Linked DNA regions of Drosophila melanogaster. The protein of the gene in region 1 purifies or fractionates together with the protein of each later gene. This does not show direct contact. Each region holds a gene or a part of one and is shown on either strand. Other genes may lie near its edges.

The links.
Region 2: the proteins of Lac (region 1) and CG6959 purify together in Drosophila melanogaster (affinity purification with western blotting; one large-scale study listed by BioGRID). This does not show direct contact.

Annotation. Positions count from the first base shown.
Region 1 is NT_033778.4:12,449,776-12,457,920, reverse strand, and holds the start of Lac (lachesin), read right to left. Parts: upstream 4,732-8,145; 5' UTR 4,405-4,731; coding exon 3,867-4,404; intron 1-3,866. Other genes in the region: Dyb (dystrobrevin), read right to left, coding at 6,631-7,007, 7,326-7,400, 7,685-7,852, 8,139-8,145. UniProt on the Drosophila melanogaster protein: Required for normal tracheal development and maintenance of the trans-epithelial diffusion barrier. Functions as a homophilic cell-adhesion molecule. May play a role in early neuronal differentiation and axon outgrowth.
Region 2 is NT_033777.3:11,864,733-11,873,009, reverse strand, and holds the start of CG6959 (uncharacterized protein), read left to right. Parts: upstream 1-3,549; 5' UTR 3,550-4,215; intron 4,216-8,277.

The DNA of each region.
Region 1 (8,145 bases):
AATGGCCTCATGGACACATGGAAAATGGAACGATTTGGTCGTGCACTTCGGCTATTAACTAACAAGTTATTACTTCGAGCTGAGTGAGTGCCACAAAGGGCTGACTGGCTGACTGGTTGGCTGTTCTGGCGATTCTCCGCATTTTGCGGCTGACTGAAAGCCGCCAGTTGGCCCCATGAAATGGCCATGTTGACCAAGTGGTCGTTGCCCCAGCAACCAACATTCACAAACAGGTTTTCTTGCCACAACGCTTCTTCTACGTCATCGCCGTTTATCGTGTTCCATGTTCCCGTTCTCGTTTTGCCTTCGACTTTGAGTTGGCCATAAACAATGCAGCGCGTTTGCAAACAGGAAGAGGAAACGGCAGCAGGACAAATAAAAACAGAGCGACCATCAAAGGATTCGGACCACTCCTCCGAATTGCCACCACTCCGCTTCCTAATTGCGAGTGAGTGTGCCAAACCTAATTGCTTGCAAATATTTTGAAACTCAAACACACAGCTGCCGCCTGTGGCATCTGAGGAATTTCATTATGCACAGCAAGCGAATATGCATGATTTCCATTATCCATCAAATTTAAAGGGGGGGCCAACTAATCTCGTGCACGGCCTGTTGAGATCTCGAGTTTAGCATCAATTGCGTATCGAAATGTTTAAGCATAAATATTATTACCATTAAGACTGGCACCCTTGCGTTTGATGGCAAAATTGGAGTACTTGATCTCATGCTCACTTGAGTCTAATTCGCAATTTGCCAGCAAACGCAATTTGCATGAAAGTTAATCAAGAATTTTCACCGAGGGAGAGTTTTCTGGACAAATACATAGTACTCCGCCGTAGACCGCGTTTCAGGTTCAGACACCCCGAAGTGATCTGTGCGCGAGATTCTCGCGCATAATTGAACAATTAAAGTTAATTTAGCATGATCCTCGATCCCTCGACGAGCGATAAGTATCTGAAAGATTCTCCGCTTCCGTTCGGAACAACAATGCCCCAATACGAATGGCGACAGCTGCCAGCCAGCGTTTGAAAATTCAGCAAAAAGTGAATTCAATTTCGCGTTGCTTTCTTTGCAGCTATCAGCTATCAGCTATGAGCCATCTCTTGTTTTCATTCGATGGGCCAAGGTGAGGTTTATTATGGCAGCCGATTTTGCATGGAGCAGCAGATACACATGTGCTTATACGGCAGATTGCCCCACGGTGCGCCGGGTTTTCAGGTGCCAGGTGCAAACACTGCATATGTCTGTGTTTACTCAATGGCCATCTACCATCTAGCAACTTGGTTTACCCATTCAATGTAACATACATGGGTTATACCTTAAAAAAAAAAGTGAAAAATAACCAATCGATTTGCATGGCAACGCACAAATTGGCATGGACCCGGGTCCCTCAACACCCCGAATACCAAAGAACCGGTGGACTGGCGAGCGGAAACGCTTGATTAGGGGTTCCTCAATGGGCACCACAGCCTGGGCGGGACGAAATGCGTTTCCAACCGGCTGATGGGATCAGGGGTTGTTTAGATGGAGGGGCATGGGCATGGCATGGGCATAGAAGGGCTCGAACCGCTCGCGGCTTGTTTGTTTGCATCTCTTACATTGTACTCGCCCCGGGAACCGCCGACCTTTGTTTGGGTTACCTTTTTAGCTTGTAATTTATATATATTTTGTATACTTCGATTGTATTTTGCCGGCTATCAAAATAAGAATTATGTAGCCGAGCAATACGAATGGTGGGAAGGGGAGGAGGTGTGGTGTTACCCAGGGTTGTGGGCCTGGGAGATTCTTTTGCAGGGGGCGCAGCCCATTTGCCATGCTCTCAGGATCCCTTTGTTTGCGTATGTTTGCTGTTTACTCGTTCCACCTCTGAGTTTCATTTTTCAGCTTTTTCATTTTTCATTTTTTTATACCACCCAAAAGCCCAGACCGTGTCTGATGTGTAAGAAACAGCCCTCTGCCGCAACGTTTTTGCACGGGTTGTTTGCCCGGAGTCGCAGAGTCGCAGAGTCGCAGATGAGGAGACCCGGAGACCATCAAACGGTCCGTGGAACGTTTTCAAGTTGCGGAAGCAATTGCGCGTGCTGAAGTTGTCGAATGCCTCAGAAACTCGAATGGGAATGGAAATGCGAAACGTGAAAAGCGGCACAAAGGCTGTGCAGTCGGAGCTCCTCGTCACGCCCACCTCTGTGTACACCTCTATGTCCTCGATGGCCTCGGAACTGCAACTCCCCCAACGACGATAGCCCTTGGAAAACATTTGACTCGGCTCGTTGGCGCATTTCAAAGCGCTGCTGGACGTGAAACTGTGCTGTTTGCCTAAGCGCTTTAAATTAGAGCGTGGAAAAGTGTGAAACTCCTGGCAAATACTGGACCTCAAACCCGGAGCCCTTTGATTTATGGCGGAATAAAGTTAAGCCATTCCTGGCCAGCCGTGGAGCGTATCCAACTGGTTGCGGTTGGGTTTTATAGCTTGTAACGCGGGGCACGCCTGGTTTTTATTTCATCATTTTTTTGTTTTGAACCCACAGAAGGAGCCCTCAATGCCGTGGCAATTAAAGATTGCACAAGCCGAAGCTGATAGCTGATAGATACAAAGCCCCGGGAATTAAGCTGGCTATCGGATGTAACGAAGCCCAGGTAGGGTGTGTCCGCGAGTCGGTTCTGGGTAATGAGTAACTCTCGGATTAGTTACACTAATTGCTTTCCAAATGACGCTGCAATCTTGTTAAGGACAGCCATTATGTTTTGCCCGAGGGTCGGAGTTCAGGTAAAGATCGCATCGAGATCGCTATGGAACAGCAGCACCTGTATGGGATTAACCTAGCGAGAAGATTCTATTGTTCCATCTACCTGGGCACCAAATTACTTTAGTGTTTTATTAGCTTTTCTCTTCCTTTCGAGAATTTCTGGATGGACAAGTAAACGCAAACAATTTGTAGATAGCATTTGCACTTGTCCGAAACGGAGTTTCCCGAGAAATATGGACCGTTTTCTTGGAATGGGAGGAACATAAAGAAGGTGAAGAAAAATAAATTTATTATTTCTGGCATGTACATATATAACCCCCCCATTTGGGTTTTTCCAAACTCGTCAAGTGTATGGATAAGAAATTTCATTTTGCGCAAATATCGATGATACATTATTCTAATAATCAAAAGAACATGTATTTATACAAAAGCCAAATATCATACATATGTACGTGCTGATTTCTTCAAAAGTAATGAATAATAAAATGGATTTAGAAAGAGAGAAGCTAGAATTGAGTTCCTTGCTAAGTTAAATAACAATCAAACTTTTTCGCACAACTTAATGTATTCTTGAGCTAACAAACTTGCTAGAAATTAGATTTTCCCTTGTTATTTGGTTAGACCTCTTTGCGAAACAATCTTCTAAGGCCCAACAAGGTAAACAAAGGGTAGCATGTGTATGTTTTCGAACGACAGAAGTTGGAAAACGGCCTAAAATGAAAAATCAATCTGCTGTTGCGAAACTCAGCCCTCGAAACAGGTGGGGGGTGGCAGGGCAGGGCTAGACCCCGTTTACCAGAACAGCCAGCCCAAGCCGAGTAAACAAAACTGAAAAACTAAGGTGACGCCTGAGTGAGTCACGGTCACTCACACTGGAGCCCAGAGCATCGAGCCCAGTTAAAAGCCCCCATTCCCAGCCATCCCAGCTAAAACCTAATGCCAAAGCGGGACGGACAGAGCTACCTGACCAGAGAGCGGGAGCCAAGAGAACGGAGAGAGAGAGAGAGCGAAGAGGGAGAGAGAGAAGTGGAGAACGCGCCCCACCAAACGAAAGCTGACTTAGCCAGCGTACCCAGCGTAACCCAAGATAATCACCCACAAATAAATGAAGAAACTCACCAGTTGGCAGAATGGCATTGTTCTCGCGCCTCCAGGTGATGGTGGGTGTGGGATAGCCGCTGGCGTAGCACTCCATCTGGACCTCGCTGCCCTCGCTGGCCACCACCGACTGCGTGGAGTTGTCCGAGATGACGGGGGGACGGCGCACCGATAGCTTCACTTCGGCGCTCACTTTGTGAACGGTGGAGATCACCACCTGGCAGGTGTAGGTGCCCGCGTCCGTCTCCTGAATGTCCTTGATCTGCAGCTTGTAGGTGGACGAGTTGGGATCGTACCGCAGCGAGAAGCGCGAATCCTTGATGACCAGCGTGGAGCCCGTGGAGAGGAAGACGGGATCGCTGTCCGTCTTCAGGAACAGCACGTTGTACTCTTTGGCATACTGGACGGAGCAATCGAACTCCACTGTGCCGCCGATATCCTTGATCTGCTCCTGCGTGATGTAGGATATGGTCGGGGTTCGCTGTGCTAGCGTTTGCTGCACAAAAATGGCCAGGAGCAGGGTGCTCCACACGCAATTCGAGATACTCGGCCGCCACATCTTAGAAATTGACTTTTAGCACCACACCCTGCAAGCGCGCGATTTAATATATGTAGTGTTTCTCAAGAGCTGCGCTCCAAGATCTCAATCTTCTCCAAATAGGGTGAGAGCGCGGCGAAGACGTCTCCAAGAAACCGAAGACAACTATTGCCGTTTCTTTCTTGAGCACAGCAAACGCGGATGCTGAACTGCAGTCTCCACACTTGTCTTCTCGCTCAGAGCTGGTTTCAGACTTCTTCTCTCGATCAGTCACGAGTTTTGGCCAAGACGGAGATAACGCGCCGGAGAGACAACTTCACAGTTCGAAAGTCGCGAAACGAATGAATCTCTGGCTTTGAAAAGTGCGCCATCAAGAGCGCAACTTGCCTGGAGATGGGCACCTTGAATGTGCCTAAATAAAGACAGTAGTGTTATCGGTATGCAACATAGCTCAGACTCAAACCAGAGATAGCATATGGTTGATATACTAAGTGGAGACACACACTCGAAAATCAGATGGCAACGCCATTCCTCTTGGAACCAATGGCATCCTCAAATTAATTTGAAATTTAAAATGAAATTTCAAGCTAGTAACTTCATTTCAAAATAAAAACGTTCATTCTTTGTGATTGTTTAAAATGCCTTTTTATTTAATTTTCTCTTTCTTGTTATTTTATTCAGTAGTTATGTATAAGTTCTATAAATGTCGGATTTTCTCTATATCGTGCTCTATGCCGTTACGATTATATGGTATAACTTTTTTGTATGAATGCATATTATAAATGGATAATATATAAATCGTGTTTAGTTTTTCGTTTTAGTGTTCAACATTGGGCTTCTCTTTCATGTGATTCAAATAGTTGTTGGCTTTATCGTATCTCAAAGTGTATAATGTATATATATATATAATGTAGAGCATTTAGAATTTGATTTTAGGTTCTCAACAAGTTGCTAGTTATTAAGTACATAATATGTCAATGTCTATATCGTATTTGTATTACGCATTACGTGATTTGATTTTCCATTTGTTAAGTTTCTTGGTAATAAATATCCGCTGACGGGGGCGCTTACACAATCTAAAAGCCAATTACGAATCGCGGAAACCTAAAATTAAAACACCATACCTCTTATTGCCCTTTAGCAGTACGATCGTAAAAGTTTCAACGAGATTCAATGGTTTTGCGACTTCGAAGAGCAGTGCAACTGCAAGTCTTTTTTATCAGCTATATTCATATCTTTTGCTTCAGTAAAATAATCATATAGATGCATATATCCGTTTACATATCTGTGTTTTCTGTGTAGATAGCAATCTTCAAAGTATAAATTATAATGATTAAGGTAGTGTAGGCTACGGCTCAGTAAAATAATCAATAAATAAATTGCTCTAAGTCAACGTATGAGTTAAGGTAAGGTAGAAAGCTAAGCGAGAATTCGTCTTCATCCATCCAGCTGCCTCTGGAGATTCCCAGTCCTGCGGTTTCCACTGGTAGCCAGTTCTTAGTTCTTCTGCGAATTAAGACTCCATTGTGCAAACTGCTCCTGCCATTGGCTATTCGCATTTGCCTGTGGAAACATAGAAATCTGTATTAAAATAAGTCATCGAAGCCTCATGTTTTCTCTTTAATCGTACTCAAGATCTTTGGCATGCAAGGCAATTGGAAAGTAGCAATCACTACACTAGCTACAGGATATATAGATATATATTCGAATTATGTTTCGGATATCGAGTGCATGTACAGAGAGAAATAGATAAATAAGGATAGACAACGGCAAAGAACAACATCTAGATCAACAGTGAGCAGGATTTCATGGCGAAATCCTTTACCTTTTCATTCCACTCTTGGTTATACGATTGAGATTCGTCGAAATCTGAAATTGATCAAGTTTGCGGTGAGCATATGTATTATCGGTATCATGGCTCAAATCAAAATCAGACAATTTATTCGAATCCTTTGAGTCAAGCAGCCAACGTGAATCAAATCTAGAGACTAACTAGGATGAGCTGACTGAGATTGATTGATATATATATAGAGAGAGAGAGAGACGGTTGAGAGTGCAGCAATGATGATGAGCTATGTTGTAGAACTATAGAAGTAACTATAGATAGAGCCCCGACTGGAAACTACCTGAGGTGGAGTGGAAGTTCGTGAGTCGAGCGAGCTACGATGGTCTATACTGTAGAGGCAGCAGTAGATTTTGCATATTTTACCTGATCACAGAGTATATATATAACCTACGACGAACACTTTATATATTCAGACTATACTTCATGATATAAGCATGCATGATCAGCTGCAGTTCATCGATTGTCTCACCGATCTCGTGCAGCGCCGGGAAACCGGCCTGCTCATCGTCGATGAACAGTTCGGGGTGGTTGCGATAGCCCAGGATGCGGTTCACCTGGGACAGCTCCTCGCCCTGCCCGAAAGTGTAATCAAAGTGGTCCTCCTCGTGAACGCCGCTAGTAGGGAACAAGGAGTATGCATTCCCAAATGGAGCTGCAGCTCCCTCGCACTCGAGATCCTCGTCGGTGCGGAACACCTCCTCGTACTCCCCGCACTCGCAATCGTTGCACTCGCACTGACTCGAGTCCTCGGACTCGCCACCCTCGATGTGTCGGAATTCTTAATCGGATTTTTTGGGCGATTTTGTTTTTTGTTTGTTTTGATTTGGTTTGGTTTTTTGGATGGGCAGGGTTCCCCGATTTAACATACAGAAGAAATGAGCGAAAATTATAAAGGGCAACTAACCAAACTGGGAGGAGCTCAATATTTGCAGCATTTTTTCTTATGCCGTCTATTGGGGTAATAATCTAAAATCAAATGGTTTGGAAAAAAAAACGAAGAAAACAAAACGGAAAATTGATCGCTTTAGAGAAGTGGGAACCAGCAGGAGTTGGAGGAGCGTTTCAGTTCGGATCGATGCAGCCCGGGACAACTTACCCAGTGGCATGATGAAGCGAGCCTGCGGTATGGAGCTCGCCGGCTGGGGACCCAGCTGCTGTGCCCTTCCCCGTCCTGGAAAATGGCCAGACCCAAAGACACAATACGCACACCGAAAAAGAACACGGATAAGCACAGAGTGAAAACATTCCATTTGGAGCTGGGATTGTGTTTGGTTTGGTGGCTCTAGAAGCGGTGCTACTACGAAATCTACGTGCTGGTGCAGTGCAGATCACCATTCACGAGCAACTCTGGGAAAACAGGAGCAAGGAACAGGAGCAGCAGATGCAGATGCAATTGCAGTTGCAGTTTTGGAAGCGTAAGCGATTGGTTAGATGGGTTCGAATCCAACGATTTACCTGCGTTCAGGTCGCTGACCATGTGCGAAATGGCCGACGTTAGATGATCGGCAGCCTCATTGAGCTCCGCGTCGGGATTCAGATTCGGATTCTGATTCGAAATCGGATTGAGGCTGGGAATGGCACTGACATTGGCAGTGGCAGTGGTGGTGCGCATTGGCGGTGGCGCTGCGAAGGCGAAGCGATCAAGAAACGAGTGTGTTTTTGGGCGTGAGAGCGTGTGTTTCGGGTGAATTGGTCAGGTGATATTCGTTTGGGTTATTGGTTTTTGGGTGTGTGTTTTGCCAGTGGCGGTGTTACCGCATTGTTGAGCGGAATATACGATTAATATCTGTCTGAACCCAGGCCTAAACTTTCGCGTTAACCAATTTCACACAGGGGATTTCAGAATTTGGACATGAACGAACCTAACCGATGAGTAACCCAAGGGTCCGTACCTCCAATCTCTACTCACTTGCACT
Region 2 (8,277 bases), on another chromosome or scaffold:
GGACCCAAAAACAAACATACAACAAGGAAAAGCGGCACAGTCGGCTGTCTCGACCATAAGATACCCTTTACAAAAAAGGCTGATAATGACTGCAAGATATCAATATGCAAGCTTAAAATCACAGCCTTCTAACTCATATAGTAGATATAAAAAATCGCACATAATAAATATATTTATAATCTTAATAATCCAATTGGGTATACCCCTTTTGCTTTACAAAGAACAGGTACTCCAAATGTTCGCTTTTTTCGTTGTTGTTTTTTGGTTTGTTTTGAAAGGTTTTATGCCTTTAAGCCCATGTTTTTGTTGTTTATCCTTTGGGCCTAAATCATATTAATGAATTTTCTTTTGGTCATGATTTGGACCTCTATCAAGGTTGGAAAGGGCAGCGAATGGAAGTTTGGGAAACATTAATTACGCAAAATTAAATTTGATATCCTCGCATTAGCCGTGAATCAAGCAATGTACAAAACTGAAACGCTTCACCGGGTTTTATTTACTTTCGGAGGTTACTTTCTCCGAGTAAATGGCAAGTGAGGGTGCTTTCGTAGGGTCACCACTTGAGCGGCTTAGTTAAATTTATGTTTAAAAAAATAAAGGCAAAGGAAGAACAAGAAATAATAATTGCCTGCAATGCGAAATCCGCTTTTGGTCATTAGCGGAGTAGCCCGTTTTTTTTTTTTTTTTGGCGGCCAAAAGGGTGAAGTGTGGCAAAAGGGGTGAATGCGTGAGTGCGGGTTCGAAGGTTAGAGGTCAGCTGCCCCCTGAATTTATTTGCCACGCGCATTGCGGACCTCATTAGCAATAGTTTTGTTTGGCTTTGTCTGGTTTTCGGTTCAGTTCAGTTCAGTTCGGGCCGAAATGTTTATTTTAATCCCCCCCCTTGGCCAAATCCACACATAAATCATGGCCCAAACTGCACTGACAGTTGCGGCGCCATCGATGATGATGATGGCATTTTGTGGGCAGAGGCAGGGCTTTATCAGCGCTATAATAATTCCCGACTTGACTCCGTTCTGCGGCCCAACTAATTAGCCCACAAAGGGGGTTTCTGATGGGGCCAGTGGTCAGTGTCCACGGATAACGACAACCAATTTGAATGGAACCAACGCGAGTCAAGTCATTTCATATTCGGATTGTCTAAAAAGTTTGACAGCAGTTAGGTCATTTCTCGTTTCATTGGAAGTTAGTACATTTTAACTGATATGTTGTTCGCTATTCTGTTCACATTTTCATATTTTCAGAAGAGCGTTGTTATTTTAATTACTCTTCTATGACGTAGTCAACCTTGCGTAAGGTACCCTTATTGTATTATTTACCATGCCCCCCCACTTTATCATCCTTATTTCCTCTAGCAATTTATTCAGTTGCTATGCCTACTTTTTCAATTTAGCATGAGTCTCCTGCCTCATTTTTGCCGTATATCAGGTGTCCTTGGTAATACTAACCCATTTATTTATCGAGGCAAAAAAAAGTAGTAAAACATAAAGTACAGGAAGTTATTTTCTCCGTCTCACCCAGCTTACCCTCCCGCACCGCCTGTTTTCCTTCTTCGGCTTTGACTGTCATTCAGTGGGCGGAATGCAGGGTGGCTGGGGGGTTGGGGGTGGTGAAAGGTGGAGCTTGGCTGGTTAAACGAGGAGGAGGCCAATCAAGCTGCATGAGTGCATCCTACTGGAGCTCAGCTGCATCTTCCTCACACACACATACGCACAGAGCGGCAGGAACACGTGTGTGGCATCATCATTAACGGTACCGAAAGGATAGCTGTTTGAAAGGAGAGAAATGGGGGTCTCAGACTTTCTCCATTCACCTTGCCCCTTTCACCTGCCTGTTGTCTTTGCTGATTGCCTGCTAAAGGCAGATAGCAAGAAAGGAAAGGAGACTTAGTTAAATCCGAATTAAGTCAGATAACCGATCGTCAGAAGATTCCGGAGTATATCTGCTAACTGCCGGCAAAACAGGATGACATCAACGTGGAATGTTAAGTTTCATATATATTTCAGTATTTATTTATAATGCAGTTATTGTTACTAAGAATAGATTGTCTGCATACGTCTATTCTATTCTATTTCAAGCAGTAGGCGTGTATTTATCACGGCAGTTAAAATGGGGAATTCGATTTGAATTTGATTTTGATATCCAAAACGGATTTTCCAGTGCGGTAATTGCATATTTCGTGTTAAATCGGCTTATCCCCTTTTCGAAATGCTAATTTATTTGTCAATGTGCATGCATGTGTGTGTTTGTGTGTTGCCAAACTCCCATTTGTGAGTGTGTTGAGCCGAGCATGAATAATTCAAATCAAAATTAATTCGTTATTAGTTCGCAGCAAACACACACAAGCAACAGGCTTGAAGGGAAAGTGATGCAGGAGCAAAAAGCCTGCGCCACCAATAAGTATGGCCGGGCATAAAGCCACGGGCATAAAGCCAACCTCATTAGCAACTATGCATATATCTATGTTTGTATGTATGTACTTGGGAGTGGGCACAAACCTGGCTTCAATAGCGCCTTGGAAAATTTACATAAAACACTAAAAATATCAACAACAACGTCCGCTGTCAAAGTAAAGAAGCGAAAAAACGCTAAAGAAAAACTAGGAAAAATGAAATTCAAATAAACCTTAAAATTGACTTAGCAACGACGACAGCGGCGGCAGCGACAACAACAAAAACAACATCATTGGTGACAGAAGCAGCGTCAGCAGCAGCAAAAAAACAATACATATACACGTACATATACATATATATCTAGAAAAACCGCTCCATGACATCAACAAACAATCAGCGACTAAGAAAAATGAAAATGAAATGTAATGCATGAAAGCCTGGCTTAAATGAAAAGCGCAGGGTTAGCATTTGTTACTAAAATTAGTAGTTTTTTGGCGCAAAATCAAATGGGTTTAATCGCGGTGGCTCTTAAATCCTCCTTACCTGCTATTTATACTCTTCTGTCGTCTGGGGAGTTTTGGAGCCCACTGCGAATGCAACACATCGAACTCAAACAGGTTGGCAGACCAAAAATCAAAGCGAGGGTGGATTCAGAAGTTCTGTGGCTTTTTTAGCTTGTTTCTTATTGCTAAGTGGACTATAATACAGTATAAATAGTTACTATTTAGGAAGATTTTTCAGTAATTTTAAAATTCTATAATTGTATATATTATTATTCATTAGCTGACATAAAACTGACATATGAGTAGGCATATCAATCTTGTTAGCATTTTTGTGATTTAAGTTCACTAGCAAATGCATAGGCATATTTGCATTTAATGCATTTCGACCACTTTAAATTGTCGTATTAAACGCTAGTTACCTTAAAGTTGGGCCTGATTAAAGGTTCAATTACAACAGTTTTGTAATATCAATTTGTTTCTACTGCAGCTCAGCCCCAACACCCCAATCTTCGTTTTCTTTCGAACATGTTGGAGTTGCCGGCTACCATCGAACGCGTTTGAAGCCGGCTGCCATTGTGGGGCTGCTTCTCTGCCCTCCCTCTGTCGCGACGCTGCTGCCATTGGCGCTCGGCGTCGCTGCTCGGCTACAGTTTTCAGTTTGTTTATAAACTTTGTGCTGTGCGGATGTGTCGTCGCGCGCTTGTCGTCTGGGTAAATCAATCGCTCTGGAGAATCTCGCTACTAGCAACGTACTTTGAAACCACTAGCCAGCCGCTTGGCGGTCCGTTCTATCCCGTCCATCGTCCCGCCGTCGCTGCCGCTCCGACCAACCCAACGCCCACATCTGCGCCCACGCGGTCGAGGAAAAGCTGAGGAAAAGCGCGCGCGCGACAAGTGAAGCTCACAGGTTAGCTGTGCTCGTATGGGTGAAACAGTGAGGAATTGTGTTTACTTGTGTGATTTCTTTTGTTTGCTGGCCAATTGTGGGGCTTAATTGAATGCTTGTCTCATATGGGCCAACAGAACCCACAGGCTGCCAACATCAACAACAACAACAACAACTGCACAAGCCTACTCGAGTGTTTCGCAACGCCATAAAAAACACATATATATTGGAAATATAAAAAGAAGAAGAGGTGAAATACCAAAGCAGTACATATACAGGCACATATCGACGGGACGAGAAGAGAAGCTAAGCCAGAAATACTATATGTACATATAAGCAAATGGCATATAGCATATAGCTATAGCATACGAAAACCAGTTTCGAACCGCCGTAGCAGAATCGAAAGCAGCGCAGTCGCAGCGTTTTGACCGAGGTGAGTTGTTCAGTGGTGTGCGTGTGTATCTGTGTGTGTTTTACCGCCCACATGTCGCGGCTTTCGCTGCCGAAGTCGACGTCAACGCCAGCGGAGTAGCAAACTGGCTTTTGTCGTATGTGAAAAGTAACTTTAATTTGATCGGAGAATCTGTCCCTAAGCATTGCCCCTCTCCCCTCCCCAAAAAAACCCCTCTCTCCACTCTTTGCAAAAAATAAAAAATAAAAAACCACCAACAACTTGTTGAGGCATTCTTTATTTGACCAAGCAGAACCGGAGACAACTCTAATTTGATTCGAGAACCCAGAAAATGTAAATCATTTTGGAGCAACAACAAAACACCAGTAAACTAAACTAATTTGCACAGTTTTGCTTTTGCCAAACTTTGTCTCTCAATTTGGGCAAAAATAGATCAAAATTGCCAACTTTCAGATACACGAACTTTTTACACGCTTGCCGTTTTTACTACACTTTTCAGTCATCATATTCAATCGGTTAATTAATCATATAAAAACTTTAGGTTTGAATATCGTTCAAGTTCGGAAAATATTAAATATGTATAATATTAAAATAAGTATTAAAAATTTGTAATACAAGAATTTCTGGATTTATTTTGAATTAAATCTCGAACTTAATTGAATTAAGATTATATTTGCAAACTCAATAACCATTTTTTGTCAAAAAATGATACTACTGTATGTAAGGGCAATAAAAAAACTAATTTAGACAAGAGAAGGCAACAACAACCTATAGCAAAGGCAAAACAACAACAAAAGAACCTACAACAAAACACGAAAAGCTCCGAAAAGTTTTTAATTGTCAACTTTAAGCCGAAGCCAACTTTTCAGGAATATGGAAGAGTTGTTTTTTCCTTTTTTTTGGGTGAACTTCTTCCTCCTTCGCAGTCTCTTATTTAGCCCTTTTTATGGCGAGGTACTAACTAATTGAAATTTACTTAACTCGTTCTTATCCCCACTGTCTACTTAGTTTTCCCCATCGTGGGGCTAGTATTGGGAGCATGAATTGTTTGCTCTTCAATGTATTGTAGAACAATTTGGCTTTGCTTGCCTGCATTATTTATTGGCCTAATCAATACCTGATTAACGAGGGAAATTCAATGAAGTAATGTTGAATCGAATTAACTGGGCCGAGAGTTCCACTATCTTATATATTTACTACATACGCCTAACCAATATAGCCCCCAGAATAATTACATTGTAATAAATACATTGTACCTTACGGCATTTAATATTGAAGTCAATCACTGTGCACAATTTTTTTAAGGACATCAGATACTTTGACTACCTCCGTTGCGGTCTTCATCTTTTTTGCGCACTCACTTAATTATCTTTCAATCCCTGTATCCCGATCTACCCCAATGTTGCCCCGCTGCTTGCGCCTTTTTAATTTGTTTGGCCTGCTTTTGCCGAGACTTTATGTACTCGTATTTCACAGTTTGCCTCAATTACGGACTCCTGTGCCCCTGTCTTCGTCCTCCTTGTATGGTGTGTCCATGGTGTCCATGGACCTGCATCCATGCGTCTACTTTTTATGGGGAACTTTTGTTTTCGTGCCATTTTTCATATACTTTCGCTAGCTACGCACAAATTAAAAGTTTATGCAGCCAGAATGATGATGGGAGTTGGGTAGGTTAATATGCAGGCTGTTTGGGATGCAGTGCATCTGCCACTGGAGCCGAGGACTAAAACTGCCAACTAGCCCAGCAAGCCAGACTTAATGCGCAACAATATTTTTTCTATCGCACAGCAGCAGGCCAAAACTTTATCCAGCCACCGAATATTTCCCCCCTGAAGCCTTCGTCCTTTAGCACACGCCCTCTCGTCCTTATATCGCCAACACTTTCACCGGGCAAATATTTGGAATACATTTGCTGCAGTTGCCAAGGGACAGACTTTTGGCATAATTTGTATGCAAAAATCTCAAATAATATACATGGTACGACACCCACTCGAACGTGTGTGTGTGTGGATGGGTGTATCTACGCATCCGAGGGATGTCCCTGCTGGTGACAGTTTATAATTTCAATCAGTGTCACACTTGTGACAACTTGTTATGTTTTATTGCCCTGGCCAGGAAGGAAGTCCATATCCTTGAACCCTTTTCAGCAAATTCAATGGATATTTATTTCGGTGGCAAATGTTCATGATCTGTTTTTGCCCCATTTCCGCCCATTCCATTCGCAAAGCCAATGAAAGAAAAACAAAGAATATTTTCTTTAATTACTTCTCATGCCATTCTCATGTCCAGCCAAGGATATATTTGCAAAAATGGCAATCAAATACATTTACATTTATGGAGCGATAACTTTGGACTTTCGACTTGACAGCATGGGAGAAAGGGTTATACTTTCTGTGGTTGAAACTGAGCTACAAAAATAGTTACCTTTGTTTTGAGATATTTACTTAGCTTGTGGCTTGGCCAAGGGATGTAGGTAATTGCAGTGCTCTCTCTGCTTCAAACTGGGCAATTGCGGATAGAATTCTGGTCAGGTGGTTGCAATGATTGCCAATGAGTCGAAACCAGAAATATCTGAGTGTTTTAATTAAATTGCCAAAAATGTTCTTCTTTTTGGACAAAGAATATTGCAAGCCAAAGGAAATTGAATGAAAATATGCAGCTAGAAAAGTCAAACTAAAATCAATTCAACAAATGACTAAACATTCTGCCGCGAAACCAATGCAATTATTGCAGTAAATAAAATCTTAAATGATTATACAAAGTATATATTCTCAGATACTTGATGAAAGGTTAATAATCCATATCTTATAAATCTTCCATTACCAAGCAATTGATATAATTTAGAAGTAACTTACATCAGTCACAGATAAGTGGAAATCGCTTGTTTAATTTTCCATGTTTCCTGTCAATCAAAGTCAGTCAAGAATTAAGGATAAGCGTACTGCAACTTGATCCCAGCCTGCAATCTGCAACTAGAAGTTTGTAGAGGGGGGCAGTTACGCAGCTGCTATTGTTGTGTAGCTTGGAAGACAATTTCAACTAAATTGCAAGTGCTTCAAATGCGAAGGAATGAGTGGGGCTAAAACCAGCTAGCTAGCACAAAATTCAGATACAACCAGCGGGGGAAACCCGCAGAACTGATTCTGATTTCATGGGGAAAATATTTGCAGCAAAAATATACAATAACCAATGTCCCGACAGTGGAGATGAGTCAGGAAAGAAGGTGGAATAAATATTACATAAAGTGATTTAAGCCTGCCGGGGACATTCAATTCAATCGACTGGCAGAACCTTAAAGAATCTGGGGCTTGGCAAACATTTGCATAAAATCACAATTAAAGCCTTTGCCGGCTGCCTTTAATTGTTTTGTATCTCTCAGATACATTGTGTAAGCCATGCCGCATACATTATCTTTATCTCTCACCCGACTGGCTGGCTGCATTTATCCACCGCCCCCCACCCCGCACTTACCACTCCCCTGCTGTGTCTGCGCAAAAAAAAAAGTGTAAACAAAATAAAAAACGCGGAGGCGTCGATGCGAATTTATGACTCACGGCTTGATTTTTCTCTCCATTTTCCTCGCCGTTTCTGTGGCTGTTGCTGATGTATCTGTATCTTGCAACTGCAACTGCGGCAACGTAATTGTCGCTTACGTGTTAAAGAGGTGTGCTACTAAAGTTCCGGTGGGTAGAGAATTCTTCTCCGTTTCGCATCTCTTTTTTTCCATCTTTAGCTTTGGCACGCCGAAATGTCTCTCTATGCGTTTTCCGTCTGAGCCACATTTGCCTTTGAGGCATGCCACAAGTCTGGCCCCCTCCCCGCGCCACCACCACCCTTTTCAGCCACGGTCAGGTGTGTGCATGATTCGGTGTATGTGTGGGTGAAACGTGCCACAAGCAGCCAGCTTCGTGAAAATTTTCTTTTCTCATTTCTGCGCGCTCTGCTTTCTCCATTATCTATTTACTCCGGAAATTCTACAGGGTAGCAAAAGTTGTTGGTTCTATTCAAATTTAAAATGGGAGTTCAGATGAAATACAGTGTTATCATATTTATTCAAAGTGGAAAAAAAATTTTCTAAATATA